Linked DNA regions of Kluyveromyces lactis. The main gene of each other region encodes a partner of the protein of the gene in region 2 in a complex. Links are inferred from orthologs where the notes say so. Each region holds a gene or a part of one and is shown on either strand. Other genes may lie near its edges.

What was found.
Region 1: RSC4 (region 2) and SFH1 share a complex: the UniProt entries of both Saccharomyces cerevisiae proteins name them as parts of the two forms of the RSC complex. The link is inferred for Kluyveromyces lactis from reciprocal best matches to the Saccharomyces cerevisiae genes RSC4 and SFH1.
Region 3: RSC4 (region 2) and RTT102 share a complex: the UniProt entries of both Saccharomyces cerevisiae proteins name them as parts of the two forms of the RSC complex. The link is inferred for Kluyveromyces lactis from reciprocal best matches to the Saccharomyces cerevisiae genes RSC4 and RTT102.
Region 4: the proteins of RSC4 (region 2) and RSC58 are in contact, whole or in part, in a cryo-EM structure (PDB 6K15), measured with the Saccharomyces cerevisiae proteins. The link is inferred for Kluyveromyces lactis from reciprocal best matches to the Saccharomyces cerevisiae genes RSC4 and RSC58. Residues at the interface, in NP_012933.4 of Saccharomyces cerevisiae: Leu364, Tyr377, Leu379, Asn380, Asn382, Lys385, Ser429, Met430, Gln431, Lys432, Glu433, Met434, Gln435, Ser436, Leu437, Ser438, His441, Met443, Tyr445, Lys446, Asn478, Trp481, Glu483, Tyr484, Phe486, Asn494, Glu495, Asn496, Ala497, Phe498; in NP_013133.1 of Saccharomyces cerevisiae: Ala169, Thr170, Glu171, Leu172, Ile175, Ile176, Asp179, Phe180, Ile181, Lys182, Ile183, Ser184, Met185, Asn186, Tyr187, Thr188, Val189, Pro190, Ile191, Gln193, Gln196, Asp203, Phe205, Lys216, Arg217, Pro218, His219, Ile228, Asn229, Asn230.
Region 5: RSC4 (region 2) and NPL6 share a complex: the UniProt entries of both Saccharomyces cerevisiae proteins name them as parts of the two forms of the RSC complex. The link is inferred for Kluyveromyces lactis from reciprocal best matches to the Saccharomyces cerevisiae genes RSC4 and NPL6.

The regions. Positions count from the first base shown.
Region 1 is NC_006039.1:1,628,955-1,632,218, forward strand, and holds SFH1 (Sfh1p), read right to left. Parts: upstream 1,852-3,264; coding exon 523-1,851; downstream 1-522. Other genes in the region: NKP2 (Nkp2p), read right to left, coding at 1-226; EFB1 (translation elongation factor 1 subunit beta), read left to right, coding at 2,574-2,653, 2,944-3,264. UniProt on the Saccharomyces cerevisiae protein: Component of the chromatin structure-remodeling complex (RSC), which is involved in transcription regulation and nucleosome positioning. RSC is responsible for the transfer of a histone octamer from a nucleosome core particle to naked DNA.
Region 2 is NC_006037.1:259,187-262,821, reverse strand, and holds RSC4 (Rsc4p), read right to left. Parts: upstream 2,196-3,635; coding exon 516-2,195; downstream 1-515. Other genes in the region: REC8 (Rec8p), read left to right, coding at 1-382; MEH1 (Meh1p), read right to left, coding at 2,526-2,957; mitochondrial 54S ribosomal protein mL50 MRPL13, read left to right, coding at 3,557-3,635. UniProt on the Saccharomyces cerevisiae protein: Component of the chromatin structure remodeling complex (RSC), which is involved in transcription regulation and nucleosome positioning. RSC is responsible for the transfer of a histone octamer from a nucleosome core particle to naked DNA.
Region 3 is NC_006037.1:881,546-883,778, reverse strand, and holds RTT102 (Rtt102p), read right to left. Parts: upstream 970-2,233; coding exon 508-969; downstream 1-507. Other genes in the region: RNH70 (Rnh70p), read left to right, coding at 1-312; TAF1 (histone acetyltransferase), read left to right, coding at 1,526-2,233. UniProt on the Saccharomyces cerevisiae protein: Probable component of the chromatin structure-remodeling complex (RSC) which is involved in transcription regulation and nucleosome positioning. RSC is responsible for the transfer of a histone octamer from a nucleosome core particle to naked DNA.
Region 4 is NC_006042.1:1,593,523-1,597,200, forward strand, and holds RSC58 (Rsc58p), read right to left. Parts: upstream 2,243-3,678; coding exon 2,187-2,242; intron 1,968-2,186; coding exon 515-1,967; downstream 1-514. Other genes in the region: putative divalent metal ion transporter SMF3, read left to right, coding at 1-186; ATP-dependent RNA helicase ECM16, read right to left, coding at 2,559-3,678. UniProt on the Saccharomyces cerevisiae protein: Component of the chromatin structure-remodeling complex (RSC), which is involved in transcription regulation and nucleosome positioning. RSC is responsible for the transfer of a histone octamer from a nucleosome core particle to naked DNA.
Region 5 is NC_006042.1:1,271,995-1,275,043, forward strand, and holds NPL6 (Npl6p), read right to left. Parts: upstream 1,766-3,049; coding exon 503-1,765; downstream 1-502. Other genes in the region: m-AAA protease subunit YTA12, read right to left, coding at 1-84; AIP1 (Aip1p), read right to left, coding at 2,116-3,049. UniProt on the Saccharomyces cerevisiae protein: Component of the chromatin structure remodeling complex (RSC), which is involved in transcription regulation and nucleosome positioning. RSC is responsible for the transfer of a histone octamer from a nucleosome core particle to naked DNA.

The DNA.
Region 1 (3,264 bases), on a different chromosome or scaffold from region 2:
CCCGTTCGAGCTCAACTCTTATCAAAGACAGCTTGTTGTCGATGAGTTTATCTATTTTTTCAATGATCCGTTGATCATTCTCTTCATAACTTTTGTATAACTGTGACGCGATCACAGTGTTGGATTCCGGTATCGTTCTAGAAAATAGATCAACAAACTGATCCTCAGTATACAAACGTGAGACTAAAATGCCGTCTAAATGCTTGTATAATACTTCGTGGAGCATAGTAATTGAAGTAATAAGGATTTCGGGTATGTACTTTTTATTATTCCCAGCGTACGCATTACTGATTCGCGATGATCTTTGATCTTTTTCTATTTGTTGTGGAGATTTTTGGCGACTAAATAAATAATAGTCTGACGAAAAGGAAGAGTATTTGTGCAAAACCACAGATGACGGTGGTATTAATACATTAATGATACATAAATCTCCACGAATAGATGGAGAACTTTATTTTCTATACAGCTTTGTCTAATGGGCGTCTGTGAAGTTAAACTGCTTGGCCGGAAAAGAGAACACACTTATATTCTCAAAGTAGTTTCCAAGTCATCCATTCTCCTCTTGCCTCTTCTTCTGGATCTTCCGTCATCGACCTTGGCACTTTCTCTCTTTAATCTTCTCATGTTTCTCTCCTTTTCAATTTCACGCTTTTCGATTTCCCATTGTGAGAGGACTTCTACCTTAGGGAACCATGAGGCGCCAAGTGTATCTATATCTAGACGGATACCTGATGTGTAACCGAAAGCTGCCTTATTTTCTACATGGGCCAAATTCAAATTACCTTCGAGCCAATCCTTCTTTACCTTTAGCAAGGATTCATGCAACGAATGTGCAATGGCAGGAACGAACTCTCTTTGCAAGCCCAGGTCCTGTACCACCAATTCTGCGAATTGTTCTGGGCATAATGAATCGTCATTAAGGTTCCATTCAAAAGTGTCATCATAAAGCTTGGAATCGAGATTTGCAGTCAAATTTATTATCACGTGTAAATCAGGAACCTGTAAAGATGCCAATGTTTCATATTCTTGTAATTGTTCGTTAATCATAGAGATAATCTGTGTATATGGGGAATTATTTGGGTTGGAAAGCACTGGGAAATCAAGATCCTGGCACAAGATCGTAGCAAACTGTTCTGGAGTCATCGAATGGTCGTTCAAATTCCACATGAAAAAATCTGCTAACTTGTGTCCACTGAATTCAACGTTTAACCGTATTGGAACCATTATCGGGCTTTCTATATCCACTTGCTGCGGATCCTGGATAGAATCTCCAAGAAGGTCTTTATAACTGATAGCGATCCTACTTTGCACGAAAGTTTCCCTAATCCTAGGATATTTCAACAAAGCTAGCGGAGTGGCAGAATCATCCTGACTTTCAAGGTCGGGCAAGTCGTTTAGTTTGATGCGATCCAATTCTGAGCTAGGATTTGACGTTCCTGCAGTACCATCGTTTGTACCGTCTGGCCCAGTATCTGCAGCCGGCGTTCCGCCAGTGACAGCACCGGGGTCACCAGACCCGGGCGTGCCCTCACCAATGCCACCATCTTCACCGAGTCCCGCCGCTGCGGCGGCGGTGGCGGCAGCAGCCGCAGCACCTCCATCACTACCGTCTACTTGATCATAGTAGTCCCCACCCCTACGACGACCATCCGAATCGTCCACATCATCCTCCAAATCATCCTCATCGTTCTTGTCGATGAATTCATCCAAGAGATCCGTATCGAACTCAGCGTAGTTCACCTGTTTACCCCTCTTGTTTCTCGATAACTGCGCAGCAGTAAACAACGGAACATCCTCGTTCTTCACTCTATTATGGAAGTTACTCAAGTAGGCTTGCGGTACGAGCGACATATCAATACAATTTTGGGAGGCAGGTCGTAGTTGCTTTGTCTGCTGTATATCAGCACGCTTCAATGAGTAAACCGTTTGTTTGTAGTAACACTATCATAGTCTTTATTCAACCAGCCCTAAAACACGAACTTGCACTTCTATTCTTGAATTGATGGATACTTTTTCATATTCGTATACAGTGATGAGTTGATTGAACAATCTAAGTGTTACCCTGAGTAAACATTTCACTTGTCAAAAGAAAAGGAATCCAGTTTGAAAAAAATGAAAAAAAGAACACTTTCTCAGAAAAATCCGTACCGTTTTGGAACCATTTACTATGGCAAAATCGTTTTTCAAAGGGGTGGACCCATGATTTTTGAAAATAAACTTGGTTTTTCTCAAATTGTCGCAGGGCACGCCGCAGCGTGCCCTGTTTTCTGCTGTTGCCTTTCCAGTATCTATCTCATCGCACTTACAAGGAAGAAAAAAAATTTTCTTCCACCGCACATTGCATGCACTTTGAATACACGTAGATGCCATAATTCCATAGTACATACGTCTTACATATCATATATCTCATAAATATATATATATATATATTGGAACTTTTCGAATTAGAGTTTTTCATCAGCTTTTCAGTATTTTTTTTTCGTCAATTTGATTCAACGTTCCTTGTAAGAAGAAGAAGAGGAATTGATTCTTTCCTAGTTTCTTCTCTCACCAGGTTTAACTATCCATTAACGATGTCTTTCTCTGATTTCTCCAAGGTCGAAACCTTGCAAAAGTTGAACACTTTCTTGGCTGACAAGTCTTACATTGAAGGGTATGTGAAATAATTATAGTGGTGGTTTTCCAATGGCATCAAGCAGTTTTTTGAATAAGAGAATTCTTCAAAGTTTACTATTTCAATGATGAACAAATTCTTTGGTCCGTGTTTATGACGGGAAGTAAGACCCCCGGTATGAGTGACAAAGAGACAGTACCTAGACAGTACGATTCTGATTTATCTTTTTTATTGAATTCTCTTTTCAGCAAGCAAGCTTAGCTGCCATACAAAAAAATTTCATTTTTTTGTTCTTTCCATTTTACTAACTAACAATTGCATCAATATAGTACCTCTGCTACTCAAGCTGACGTCTCTGCTTTCAAGGCTTTCCAATCTACTTACCCAGAATTCTCTAGATGGTTCAACCACATTGCTTCCAAGGCTGATCAATTCGAATCCTTGCCAGCTGCTACTTCTACACCAGCTGCTGCTGAAGAAGAAGATGACGATGACGAAGTCGATTTGTTCGGTTCTGACGATGATGTCGATGAAGAAGCTGAACAATTGAAGGCTAAGAGAATCGCTGAATACAACGAAAAGAAGGCTGCTAAGCCAAAGGCTGCTGCTAAGTCTATCGTTACCTTGGATGTTAAGCCATGGGATGACGA
Region 2 (3,635 bases):
CAGCGGTTCTGCGGACTACCTTTCAGGATCAGATTCAATTCCACAGACATTTAATGAAAATCAACAGCAGCTTATCGTGCATGATAAGCAGACAGAAAAATTCTTTCAATATATTGTTGAGAGAGGACAACACATAGGTAAAAGAACTGCCGCTTTCCCAGGTTATTCCAGAAAATTCCTTTTTGAAGATATTATCCCAAGTAAGTTAAGTCAGGAAGAAGATGAAGAGATTATACCTGTTACTAAAAGAATTGCCTGTAATGCCTTTTTGTCGCTTTTACAATTGGCTACTTCGAGCAAGTTGAAAATTGATCTTTATAATGTAGAGCCTGAAAAGGTGTTCAGGGTACTAAATGGAGATGATATCATTGTATATTGCTAACTGGATCGAGTGAGAGTGTTTTTTTTTTAATAACTGACGTTCGGTTCTCTTGAGAGTGATTCTTCTTTCAAGCCCCATTTTTTGAGTAAATTTATAGTCTTCATATATTACACTGGAGCTACATAATAGCTAACTAAGGTAATACACTAATCCAGAATTTGGCTGTTTCCAAACGGTCGTTCTCTGAATCTCTTACAGAGAAAGTAACAGTGTTCAGACCTTCTGCCAACTTGATATCGTATCTTGCTTTACTTTCGTCGAATTTATCCCCATCTAATACTGGTATTGGGTTTACTTTATCCTTGTTTGCTATCAAAACTGCAGGGCTATCTTCTGAAACAGGAGAGCTTAATTGTGAAACCACAGTAATTGAATTTTGTTTTGGTGGTAGTGTAATAGCATATTCGTGGCTGGTTTGGGTGAGGGCACCATCTGCGAATATGTATTCGAACCAAGTGATATTGTCGGAATTCTGATACAGTCCCTTCAGTGGTCGTATTGATTGTTCATAAAAACTTCTAGAAGAAGAAATCTGAATCTTTTCTATCACTTTATAAGGCACTGGCTCTGTCTTTGGTTCAATGTTGTGCTTTTTTATAACAGGAAGGATGTTAAATTTCAAGGGAAGTGGTTTATCTGGTTCATTGTTTTCAACTTTCGAGTCTGCAGTTTTACTTGTTTTTGATGGTCCCAAAAGGTAATCTCTAGACATTGGGCCTCGATTATATCCATTTCCTAGTCCCTCTATATAATTGTATTCTTCGTTAGTTTCATCATCATCAGAAAGAATTGGTTCTTCCTCTTCTTCTTCTTGTACGAACTGTTTATATTCAATTTTGTCGTATTCCAGCGTGATTTCTCCTTTTTCTCTAGCAGTTTCTAATTCAGGGAAGAACCTTCTTTGGATCAATACACTAAAACATTTCATCAGCTTCAATGCATCGCTATATATTGTAGTATCTTCGTCATTGAAAACCAATGCGTTTTGAAACGTCAAATTAACATCGGTAATGAAATCGTAGATTTTGTGATAGTATCCAAGTTCTAAGTTATTTTTCACCAAGTTCAATGAGTTAGGTAAACGAATCACTTCTTCATATTCTGGATACTCATCTTTATCTACCAATTCAAGGAACGGTTGGCATATGTTTAAAGTGTCATCCAAGTTGTTGTTAGAAGCCGCTTCTAATTTTACGTCATCATCTTCTGCTAAGATTTCTGCCATCTGTTTATCTGTTACATTGAGTAAAGTGTCAAAGATTGCTATGAAACGTGTCTTCACATCATCGTTAACCAAGAAATTTCTTGTAGCATTTTTTACTTTCAACACTTCATTTTTGATGAAATATACCACTTGTTTCGCATTTTTAACAATAAGAGAATCTGGATCGTTATATGCAAGACAGTTCTTGTAGATCAGTTCACAATCCAATAAGAACTTGGTTTCCCCACCACTATATTCGTAATCCCTGCTTTTAATTTCGTTAATAGAGATCGGTTGATCAATTTTGTAATAGTACTGTGGATGAAACTTCCTACTGGGTAGTTTGATAAAGTGTTTGAATAAAGCCTTGTGAGCTTCAACTAAATTATCCAAAGTAAATGCGATGAACAAATTCAACTTAGGAATAGTCCAATCTAGATCTACAATGAGCTCTTCTGTAGGATCCAAAGGGTGCACATAATCCACTTTGGGTAGAGCGCCGCTTCTAGGACGTTTTCCTGGTGTATATCTTGGTACATAATTCTGTTTTGAATGCTTTTGTTCGGGTTCCTCACTGGGATCTTCTGATCTGCTTCTTTTCACAGCCATAGTATTTGGCGCTTTCCAGTTTGTTTATGCTTTTTTTTTTGCCTCCTCGCTTCCTTGGCTTCTTAAATGAACAAATTTCAGTATATATGCAGCAGTCAAGGCACTTACTCTAACCGTACCTAATTGGCTCCTTTGACAAACCAAAATCGTATACTGCGTATTGTTTTATATGTCTATTCTACAAAGTTTGTATATTTCAATGTTTTCAATAAAGAGAGTGAAAGTACCTTTACAAGATTGAGAAATGTTCAGACGTATATAGTGATATATCGCATTTCAACATTTGGTGAACCCATTTTGAGTGCGCTAATAGTGCAGAAACCTATTGCGTCACGATTCGATATTGGCGACCAATGGCTTGTTATATTCCACGGTAAGGTTTTTCACTAGGTTAGCGAAGTACTTTTTGTGAAATTCTTGAATCGCCTTCCTTGTGTCCTGTTTTATTTTCGAACTGGGAAGTACCGTTAAGGGTACGTCATGTAAAATTTCTCTTTGATCTTGCACATAGCTCGAACCTAAATCGTGTGAGGATGCTACGATACCGCTGTTGCTGATCATACCTATATCTATAAGCTTATCGTTCGTATTATTCACGATTTCGGTCAATTCAAGTTCTCTTGCAAGCACTCTTTCCTTCTGTCGTTGTTCCATTTCGTTATAATCTAATTGGGCTTGTGAGCCGTACCTGTCCTGTTCCTGCAATAACGGGTCATTTTCGTCGCTATCTTGACGAAAGCAGCAACTTAGCACATTTCCCATAATATTTTAAATGTTTTAGGCAGATTTTCGGTAGCTACTGATGCTAGAATTCGTTAGTAAACGTAAACTATCTCATTGCCTTGGTGGCTTTAAGGTAAAGGAACTACACTTACTATAGATGTTGATAAAAAGCACTGGGAAGCATAAATTTCATATTCTAGTATGTGGGTTGTGGGTGTTTTGAATAGGGTAACCCCGTCTTCTTTATCTATCGGGCTACATAGATAAGCAGCTTTTAGTTACTGAATACAGTGAACATCATGCAAACCAGGAAGTACGCACTTAACTCGACCCGTTGTTAAAGACCACTATGATGCAACTATCTATCGCTTCAGATCCTGTTTCTTTCTCTCTTTAGAACCTTCCCATATGGACTACATTCTTTCTATGCCCAATTGAAAAATTGAAAAATTTCATCTAAAAACTATAAACTTACAATTTGATGAAGATATTGTATATTAGAACATTAATTGAACGGTCAAGTTCTTGATGAGCTTAAGCACAGAAGTATCTTCTAGTGTTGTCTGATTTGGCGGTTGATATCAGTTCATTAAAGCGTGGTACTGTGCATATTTTTCAATCGAAAACAAAAAAGAATAATGATGCTAGCGTCTAGGTACGTGCCAGTAGTGCGTTCATCAAGACAATTCACTTCAAGTGCAGTGCGCTCTGATTTCT
Region 3 (2,233 bases), about 620 kb from region 2:
GAATTTGCCGCATGCAATAACCGTGACACTGAAGTTCTAACTGAGGAGCTAGCATTGGAAAACATGGGGAAAAGAATTACAAAGATCTATGAAAATCTACCTTCATCAGCTATGCTACTAATCTGTTCAGGTACTGGTGATACAAGAGAATGGATCAAAATAATGAGTGAGTTGAACAAACTTGATAAGGAAGACCGTGCAGTGGAAAAATCCAAACGTGAAGCAGAAATACAGGCTTCGATTAAAACCGCTCGCGATGCCATCTCATTTATGACTATCAAAACCAACAACGTGAATAATGAAAGCCAATAGTTTTATATAGTAATGTCTCAAACGCACACATACGTCCTATGTGGAGAACAAAAGCGGTGATGGTTTTTCCTGCTTGCCCTCCTTTGGATGAAGGACTGTCTTTATCTTATTCGAGAGTGGGCGTCCAGGCCACATTCTGGATTCCATGAATCGTAGTAAAATTACAGTATATAGGTGTAATCGTTATATAATGAATCATTCCATCTTTACGTCGCCTTCTTGGTCTTTTACCTCTGCCGGTGTATCTTCAGCCGGAGTTTCTTCCGCTGGAGTTTCAACCACAGGAGTTTCAACAGCAGCTTCACTCTCGGCTTCTTTCTTAGCATCCGATCCTGAGAACCCAGGAATGTCAGAACCACCAACAGCTCCTCTTATATCGTTAATTGAGAGTGAATCTGGGCCACTTTTCTCCTGGACACGAGCATTTTTCTTAGCTATCTTCGTCCTATCAAATTCATCTAAGTTAAGAACATCTGTATCATCCTCAACTACATCTCTCAAAGGATGATCTTTTTTTACCCATTGCTTGAACTTATATTTTACCTTCTCATCAGTACCATTTTCATTTTGTTTAGCAGTAGTGGACCATTCGTATTCCCAATGCTTTGCATCGGTCGTGAAACCTCCAAGACGATTTGCCCTACTTATCAAAGACATTCTCACTTTCTGTTAAGTATATGGCTCAGTGTGTAAATTTGCTGAAATAATTGGCCGAGTTAGTCGATCTAACACCTAAAAGATTGTCGCATTGTACCTTTAGATCTCTGCTCGCACTGTTAAGCTTTAAGCTCTTGATGTTTGGCTTTAATTTCATGTTGGCAGAATTATCAACAAAAATTGACCTTAAATGGGATAAAATGGTCGATTAATAGGTCAGCGAACCACTTATTGAAACGAAAAGCCAGTAAATGAGATGAGTGCATGCTACACATTGCATATAACCTTGTTAATTCGAGTGAAGTGGCCAATCTGGGCCATGATAGTGGTTTATGTTACATGGATTGCACTGAAATTACGTTACCCGGTCTCTGGATTGATCCCTCAATATCAAAATCTAAACAAAGTTGAAGAGCTGATATGTACATTTCAGTAAAGAGTGCTCGAAGTCATAAAAAGGGTGGTTAAATAGGTTCATTCAACTCTGTGAGCCAATATTTCTGTCAATAACAGAATTCTAATCTGATTCCAGTCATAATACACCCATTTTTGCGAAATGCCTAGGGTTGCTGGAAGCTCAGGAAGCAAGAAACAAGGCAAGGCAAAGAAGGATTTCAGCAATGAAGATGATGCGTATAACGCTCTATTTGGTGGTGAGTTTGGGGCATTAGATATTAGTAATTATACTAGTGGTGGCGGCAATGGTAAGCAAGATGAAACAGAGCATCTGCCGAATGCTATTGATTTTGAAGATGAAGATGAATTGGCAGATGAAGAATTACCGGAGGAAGAAGAGCCATCCCATTCTCCGAACAGGCATAATGAAGGGTCGTTTCAGCGGAGTCTGACTGAAGACGACGAATATATGACTCTGATGGACCATGGTGATGTGATGCATGAAGTTGACGCTGCTGGATTTGAAGTACAAGGTAATAATGCATTGTTCATGGAGAGCACATATCAGTCATTTGGTCCAGAACAACACCAATTTAACGAATATGATGAGCAACACAGGAGGTTAATGGAGGAACAGCGAAGGAAACAAGAGGAACAAAATGCGAAGGAAGAACAGTTATTATTTCAGTCTTATTTCCCTGAGCTAAAGCCGGGTAGAGTCCTAAGAATGACCAAGATAGCTCCAAAACCGTTGGCGAAGTATCAATGGCAAAGGGAGTTATACCTTCGAAACAGAATTTTAAAACCTCTCATACCCATTAAAGTGAAGTTTCAAGTTCAAAAGGATACAAAAAAATTGTTCAAGATG
Region 4 (3,678 bases), on a different chromosome or scaffold from region 2:
GATTCTGCACCCGCATCTGCAGACAGTACTGAAGAAAGTAGATTATTATCGAAAGGCGTTAAGTCCATTGACTACACCAATGGAAGACTGTTGAGCATCAGTTCATTTGTTATATGGTTGACAATTGGTTCATTGAATTGTTATCTTGTATTTTCATACCTCATGGGAGCGGACGTGCATTTTTAAGTCTAAGTAGGCATTTTATATAGTTTTGATGGATTCTGTTTAATCTATAATCAATTCGTAAATTGTACTTATTGGATCTGCTTTGTTGATCTCTTCTCTTGTACCTTTGTTGTGGTTAATTTCTTTGTTCTTTATATAATCTTTAATTGTTCTTGGACATTTACCTTCGAAAGTAATTGAGGAAGTAAAAAAATCGAAACACTGATGGTTTCAGAAAATAACTCCAAATAATAGTAACCGTTAGCTATCACTGATAATAAACTAGCCCCACAGATTATTGCACACTACCACAGCTGCGATTTATAGATTCTATACGGAAATATCTACTTCACTGCATAACTTTCTTACTTTTCTTTTTTCTAGTCGATATGGTCTTGACGACAGGAACTGATCCGGCATAATTAGTCTGAAGGACTGGGAAATGTTTCTCGTGCAATTTTGGAGATGTCACAATCTGTTTAGAAAGTAGAGCTTCTTTCAAGATGTTCTGTGCTCTATGATAAAGGGAAACTTCCTCACTTGTTGGTTTTGATATCTTGTTCAGCTTGACCCTTCTCGATTTACATGCCTTTAGCTTTAGCAATATCTCTGTCAATAACCTTTGCTGTTCACCTTGCTCAAAAGCCGTTATATCTTCATCATGTATCTCATGGCTAGGTTGCCAGTCATAAAGATTTTTCAAATTAATATTGACAGGTCCAGCTGGCTCCGTTGTCACTATTACTTCATCTCCCTCCTCATTTGTATCTTGCTCTTCATCCGTGGCAACATTCTGCTCTTCATCATTTTCATTTGATTCCTTTTTTTGGTTGTCAGATCCGATACTGTCATTTGCTTCCTCAACCTTTTGATCTTCAATACCCTCATCCTTTATTTTTTCATCTTCAACATTTTTATCTTCTGCTTCCGCAGCCCCTCTCTTCTTCGATTCTATTTCTAACCAGCTTTTGTATCCGACCTTTTCCAACCATATGTCTCCTTTACGGGAACAATCTGTTACAGACTTGAACTCCGAGATACTCGGAGCAAAAGATTGATAGTCGCCATACTCCAACCATTTAGTAGTGGGTAGCGGGTACCAATTCGGATGCAGAAAGGAGGTCATGATTTCTGTAGGAGAAATTGTTGGATCAGGAACATTGGAAGTGTTAGCTGCTACGAATCCCAATCTATTGGCTGGTTGGGATGTTGCTTGAGGAATAATTTTCACAATTTCACATTCCTCGTATGGTACTTCCTTTGGCCTCTGATCAAGTACTGACCTCGTTATCACCGAACTGAACAAATGTCCCTCCTTTGTCTGCGTATGGTAAGTTTCAGTAACGGGGAGCTGATAAACTTGACTAATTTTAAGGAAATCATTGGAAATGGTTTTTGAAAAATCACTTTCTTTGAAGTCAATGTCTGCCGCGAAGTCTCCCACCAGTTTGGCTCCAACTCTATAACATTCCCTTAGAATCAATTCTGCTGCAAATTTGTAGAATTTGTCGACCATTTGGTACGACCTCGTTCCTTGAGAGTAGTAGTGAATTAAAATGGAGCATACTAATTTAATATCATGGTAAATCCGATAAACAGAATCTTCATGCTTCTGGTAATCTCCACTAGCAAATTTATCAGATATGGAAATTGAATCAATATCTTCTGCTATTTTGATATCTGGATTTTCATCAAACTTGGCCCTTAGAAACTTCACGTAAGAATCGTATATGTGTGTTGGATCAGGCTCGTAGAATTCTTTAGGAAACCTTTCATCTAAAGCTCTGCATTTCGAAGATGCACTAATTAAATCAAAATAAAATTAATACTGTTAGTATTTGATTGTAAAATAAAATCATGCTTTGGCAAATCTAACACTGAAAACATAAAATAAAGACTTGAGGAACCCCAGGTCATCGTATGCTGGTCTTTAATTTATTATTATCACCGATTCTAGACAAAAACATGTGCGAATGCAACATAATTCGAATGAAAAATGTGTTGTTTTTATATTCACATACCCTTTTAAAACAGTTAGTAAGTTCTGAAAAAAATTCTCTTTTAGCAGCTCTACCATTGTTTACTTATTTTTAGCCCACTATAAAAGAGTTTGCAGACCTTGTACTCTCTCACTGCCCATCAGTTTGTCATTCAGCAGTAATGTAAGAAGCCTTTATTGATCAACCTGCGCCAAAACCTGTGTTTTCATTATGAAAAACATCAAAACCGTACATCATGATCCAACTGGCATCCATTGACAGCTTTTACAGAGATTCCTGTCACAGCAACAGTACCCAGTCATAGCCTAACAAGCTAGGTATTGGCCTTTAATTATTCCAATGCAATTGGTATTATATGAGTTAATTAATTCTATAAATTGTACTGGTGTAGTTCTAGGGTCTTTTCGAAGCTTGATAGTTTTTAAATGCTTTTGGAGTAAGGAATTTCTTGACCGTCCATACACCTTTCTCTTTCTCTTGATGAACAGGGATAGGATTGAGTTCCCAACCAATCTTGATGTCGCTATCATTGCAAGATCCAAATCTAGGAACAACATAGCAGAATCTTTCTGTTGGCGATAAATCAATAGGTTTCAAACCTTGTCCAGTGATTGGTTTTCCGTAAGTGAGTAACGAGCCCTTTCTTGCAACGTTAGCCAATGGCGTGCTTTTAATGTCACAAAGAGACTTCATCCTTGTTTTCGCCTTTTCATTATTTTTATTGACATGTAGTGATTGGAAAACCAAGTATTTCGGAGGTTGCTCGCCAGAATTGTTGAGAATTGAGGTTGGATGAATATAAACAAAGATATCATCCAAAGAAGATGTTTTCTCAGCAAGGACTGGAACATAAGGGATATTGAAAATGTTGGTTTTGTTGATAGTAACGTCTTCCGGGAATAACTGGTCTGCGCGAACGGCCACCTGGTCGATAAATCCTGCTGTGATCATTTGCTTGAGTAATTTGATTTGAACATCGGTGGGGATCGAGCTCTTCAAGTCTTCGTCTTTAACATTTACAGCTACATTTTCTCTCGAAGTAACTGACCTGATGATGAACATCACCTGCTTTCTCAACTTCATAATCTCCTCTACGGTTTTTGCCCTTAAGAAATTTTTTTCCATGAAAGAACTGTGCTGATCCTTTGGAATGAAATCCAACGCAGATACTGCACTTAAAAGACGGAAAACATCACTGAATTTATCAAGCTTACTAAATCTAATTTTGCTTTTAACATACTTGGAGCGCAATAGCCTTTTTCTTTCCTCAGCTTCGTGATCAGGATAGTCATCTAATTGTCCTTCATCTTGTGTCTTGGGCACAGTATCCATGATACCAAGCTCTTGTTCAGATAAAAACGGCTCACCTACTGAAAGGGCACTGACAATGGTAACAACATATTTCAAACAGTCGCTTTCATTACCAACAAGCAGCATTTTAGAAAATCTTGGACTTAGCGGAAACAAACTCATTGCTTTACCATCATCAGTGATTCTTTCATTACTGTCGAGT
Region 5 (3,049 bases), on a different chromosome or scaffold from region 2:
ACGCCCCTTTGGAACTTTGTACAACGCCCTACTGGCCACAGACTTTACGCCAAGCCTAGATACCGGCCTTATTAAATGGAACATTGCAAGTCACTTCAATGTAATAAAACCACCACGTCGCTGCTACGGTTAGCCGAGTCTGATTGCTATACCGTTTACCTAACAGGACTTTTCGAATTTAAAACCAGTGGAAAATCTTTGTTAACACCGAAACAAACCGAGACAAAAACAGCCGTTTCAACAAACACCTGGCTATTTTACACTACTATAGGGTCTTAAATTCACAATGCAACCACTGTAGATTGCAAATGTAACTGCTAACGCTCCTTTTATCGGTGGCAAATGGCCTTGTCTGTTCACCTTATGGGGTTGTTCTGGTTGAAAAGCCCAAATTCATTTTTGGTAGAGCAAGGACATATCGTTACCCGGCCACTTAGTATAATACACTCTTATTACGTATGTTGAGATATACACGTATACATGGGAGGTCAGTTCAGCTATGTTATAGGCTTGTTTCGAATCTCTTTTGTTCTTCTATAGCAGCGACTATATCTTCGTCCAAGATGTCTTCGTACATCGATGTAGGGACGTCAGAAAGACCGGTGCAAGGTCTTGCTAGGTCAAGAGCTTTGATTCTTGTTTCGTACATAACTTGGCTTGTGTTTCCTTTCACTTTCTTCACTGATATCACTCTCGTCGATTGTGTGGATTGTGGTATATGTAAGACGTTCGTGTACGTATCTCTTAGTCCGAGGTTTTCGATGAGAAGAATGCGTTCTCTATCGTAGAAAAGATCACTGTTGAATCTACTGCATGCAGCAGCATGATGATAGAGCCAGTTCGTAGATGAGATATTGCTTGTTGCCGGGATGTTGTGATTTCTCTTGTCAAAGAATTCTACTGCATTTTTGGATGGGTTGACGGATAATTGTTGCGGAATGTCTATTCCAAGGGTATTTCTTCCAGTGACACTTGTGTGTGATGTTTCTCTTGCTGGGGTACCCTCTTTCACCTTCCCGGATGCACGAAGCTTACCGGCGTAATAATCATCCGTGATGTTTTTACCATCTACAACAACCTTGGCTCCGAATTCTCGGAACACACTCCTTGCAGTAACTAGCGCAATGATTCTGTTTCTGTACGAATAGGGCAATACACCATTTTTGATGAGATCGTCTCTCTCTGATTGCGAGATAATCAATTTGTATAGGTTTGGATGGTACTGGAAGAACAAGTATGAGTCTCTGAACCCAACGGCACGGGCTGGCTCAGTAGAAAGCATGTATTTAACTTCACCTCTGGAAGGTACCGTGAAAGTTCTGACTACAAATTGTCTTCCCTCTAGAAGATCACCATTCTTGGTGATCTTGGTTTCACCCTCTGGATCCTCAGGTAATGAATACTCGTCATTCACAATTGGGTATGGAGACCCGTTTTCGTCCACTGGGTACGGTAGTTTCTGTCTTAAGGGATCGTTCAAATCTTCTTCTCTTTTCCTCTTTGAAGGCCTTCCTCTTGTCGCTAGTACCACTGGAACAGGTGTGCTCGAAGCGGCCTTGCGCTTGGAACGAGATGGTTTACCCTCGTTTTCGATATCAGCATCTGGGTCATCATCGTAATCATCATCATTGGCTGGTCCAGGGTACTCTTGATCCTTTTCATCATCTTCAATGTCTAACTCGTCTGTATCGATTTTATAGCTGGTTGCTTTGTTAGCTGAGCGAGAAACCCTCGAGCTCTTCCTGCCTCTTCCTGCTGCTGCCATATCTGATATAGGAGAAACTCAAGCTTCTTGATTGGTGATTCCAAATACAGAATTACTAAGGAATGTTATGCGTATATCCGCTTTCAACCGAGCTTTGTTGATCTTGTTTGTTTATATATAAGCTTTGAGAGGCAGGAATCTGTTCAATGTTCAAGAGAAACATCAAAACGTATGAGATGATAAAGAAGAAAGAACAACTTCAACGGCTTTACTAGAAGCTCTAGATATTTCTGGGGGGGGGGGCCTTGATGCAACATCTGATCCTCCTATTGTTATTCATTGTCTTATATTTCGTACGTTAACTAACTGTTAAATACTTTTATGTGTTACTGGTAAAAAATGTGTCTCATTCAAAACTCGACGGTCCACCTCTTGATACAGGCGTCCACACCGGCGCTGACGATAGTGGAATCGTTTTCCCATAGTACACTGGACACACCGTCCTTTTGTGCGTTTAATCTTTTTATCACTTTCATAGGTTTGTTAACAGAGTAGATGAAGATGTTGGTGTCCAGAGAGCCAGTGACAACATAATCTTCCTCCAAATCATCATCATTTGCAGAAGGTCTCCAGTCAATGGATGTAATTCTGCTTGTGTGGAATGACCATCTCGAGGTCTTGACGTCCTTCGTGTCAAGATCATATAGGATAATCTTACCGGACACGTCACCGGCAGCCAAGTACTTTTGTGATGGAGAGAAGGAAAGAGCAGATGGAGTGGCACGTAATGGAGTGGCCAACGTGAATGCATCTGATAGGTCAGAAATTTTGAATAGCTGCACGGAGTTGGTTTGTTCGTATGCCACTGCCACGAAAGTAGTTCCCAATGCGAGGGCCCCGACAGGTTTATCTAGAGTTATCGATTTCGATAATAGCCCACTCTTGTTATCGATGATCAACAATTCGTTAGTGTTTGTAGCAACAGCCAAAGTGTTATGAGAGAAAACCGCACATTTAGGTTGCTCTGAGAATTGGTACTTCGTTTCAGCAAGCGCTTTTTCACCATCGATGAAATTCTTCAACGTTTCGTCCCAAGAAACACTCGATACCTCGTTATCAGAGTTATCGATGGCCAATACGAGATTACCATGAATATCATGGCTAATAGCATTGACTTCGTCACCTTCTGAATTCCAGGTAACAACTCTACCATCGTATGACCCAGACACTAATGGGTTTACCGCCAAAGAAGTAATCCCCTTGTTGTGACCATGAATGAATTTGATGGTATGATCATTTAGAGACAAAATGCTCAAGGTCCCATCAAGCGTCAATGTTACGATG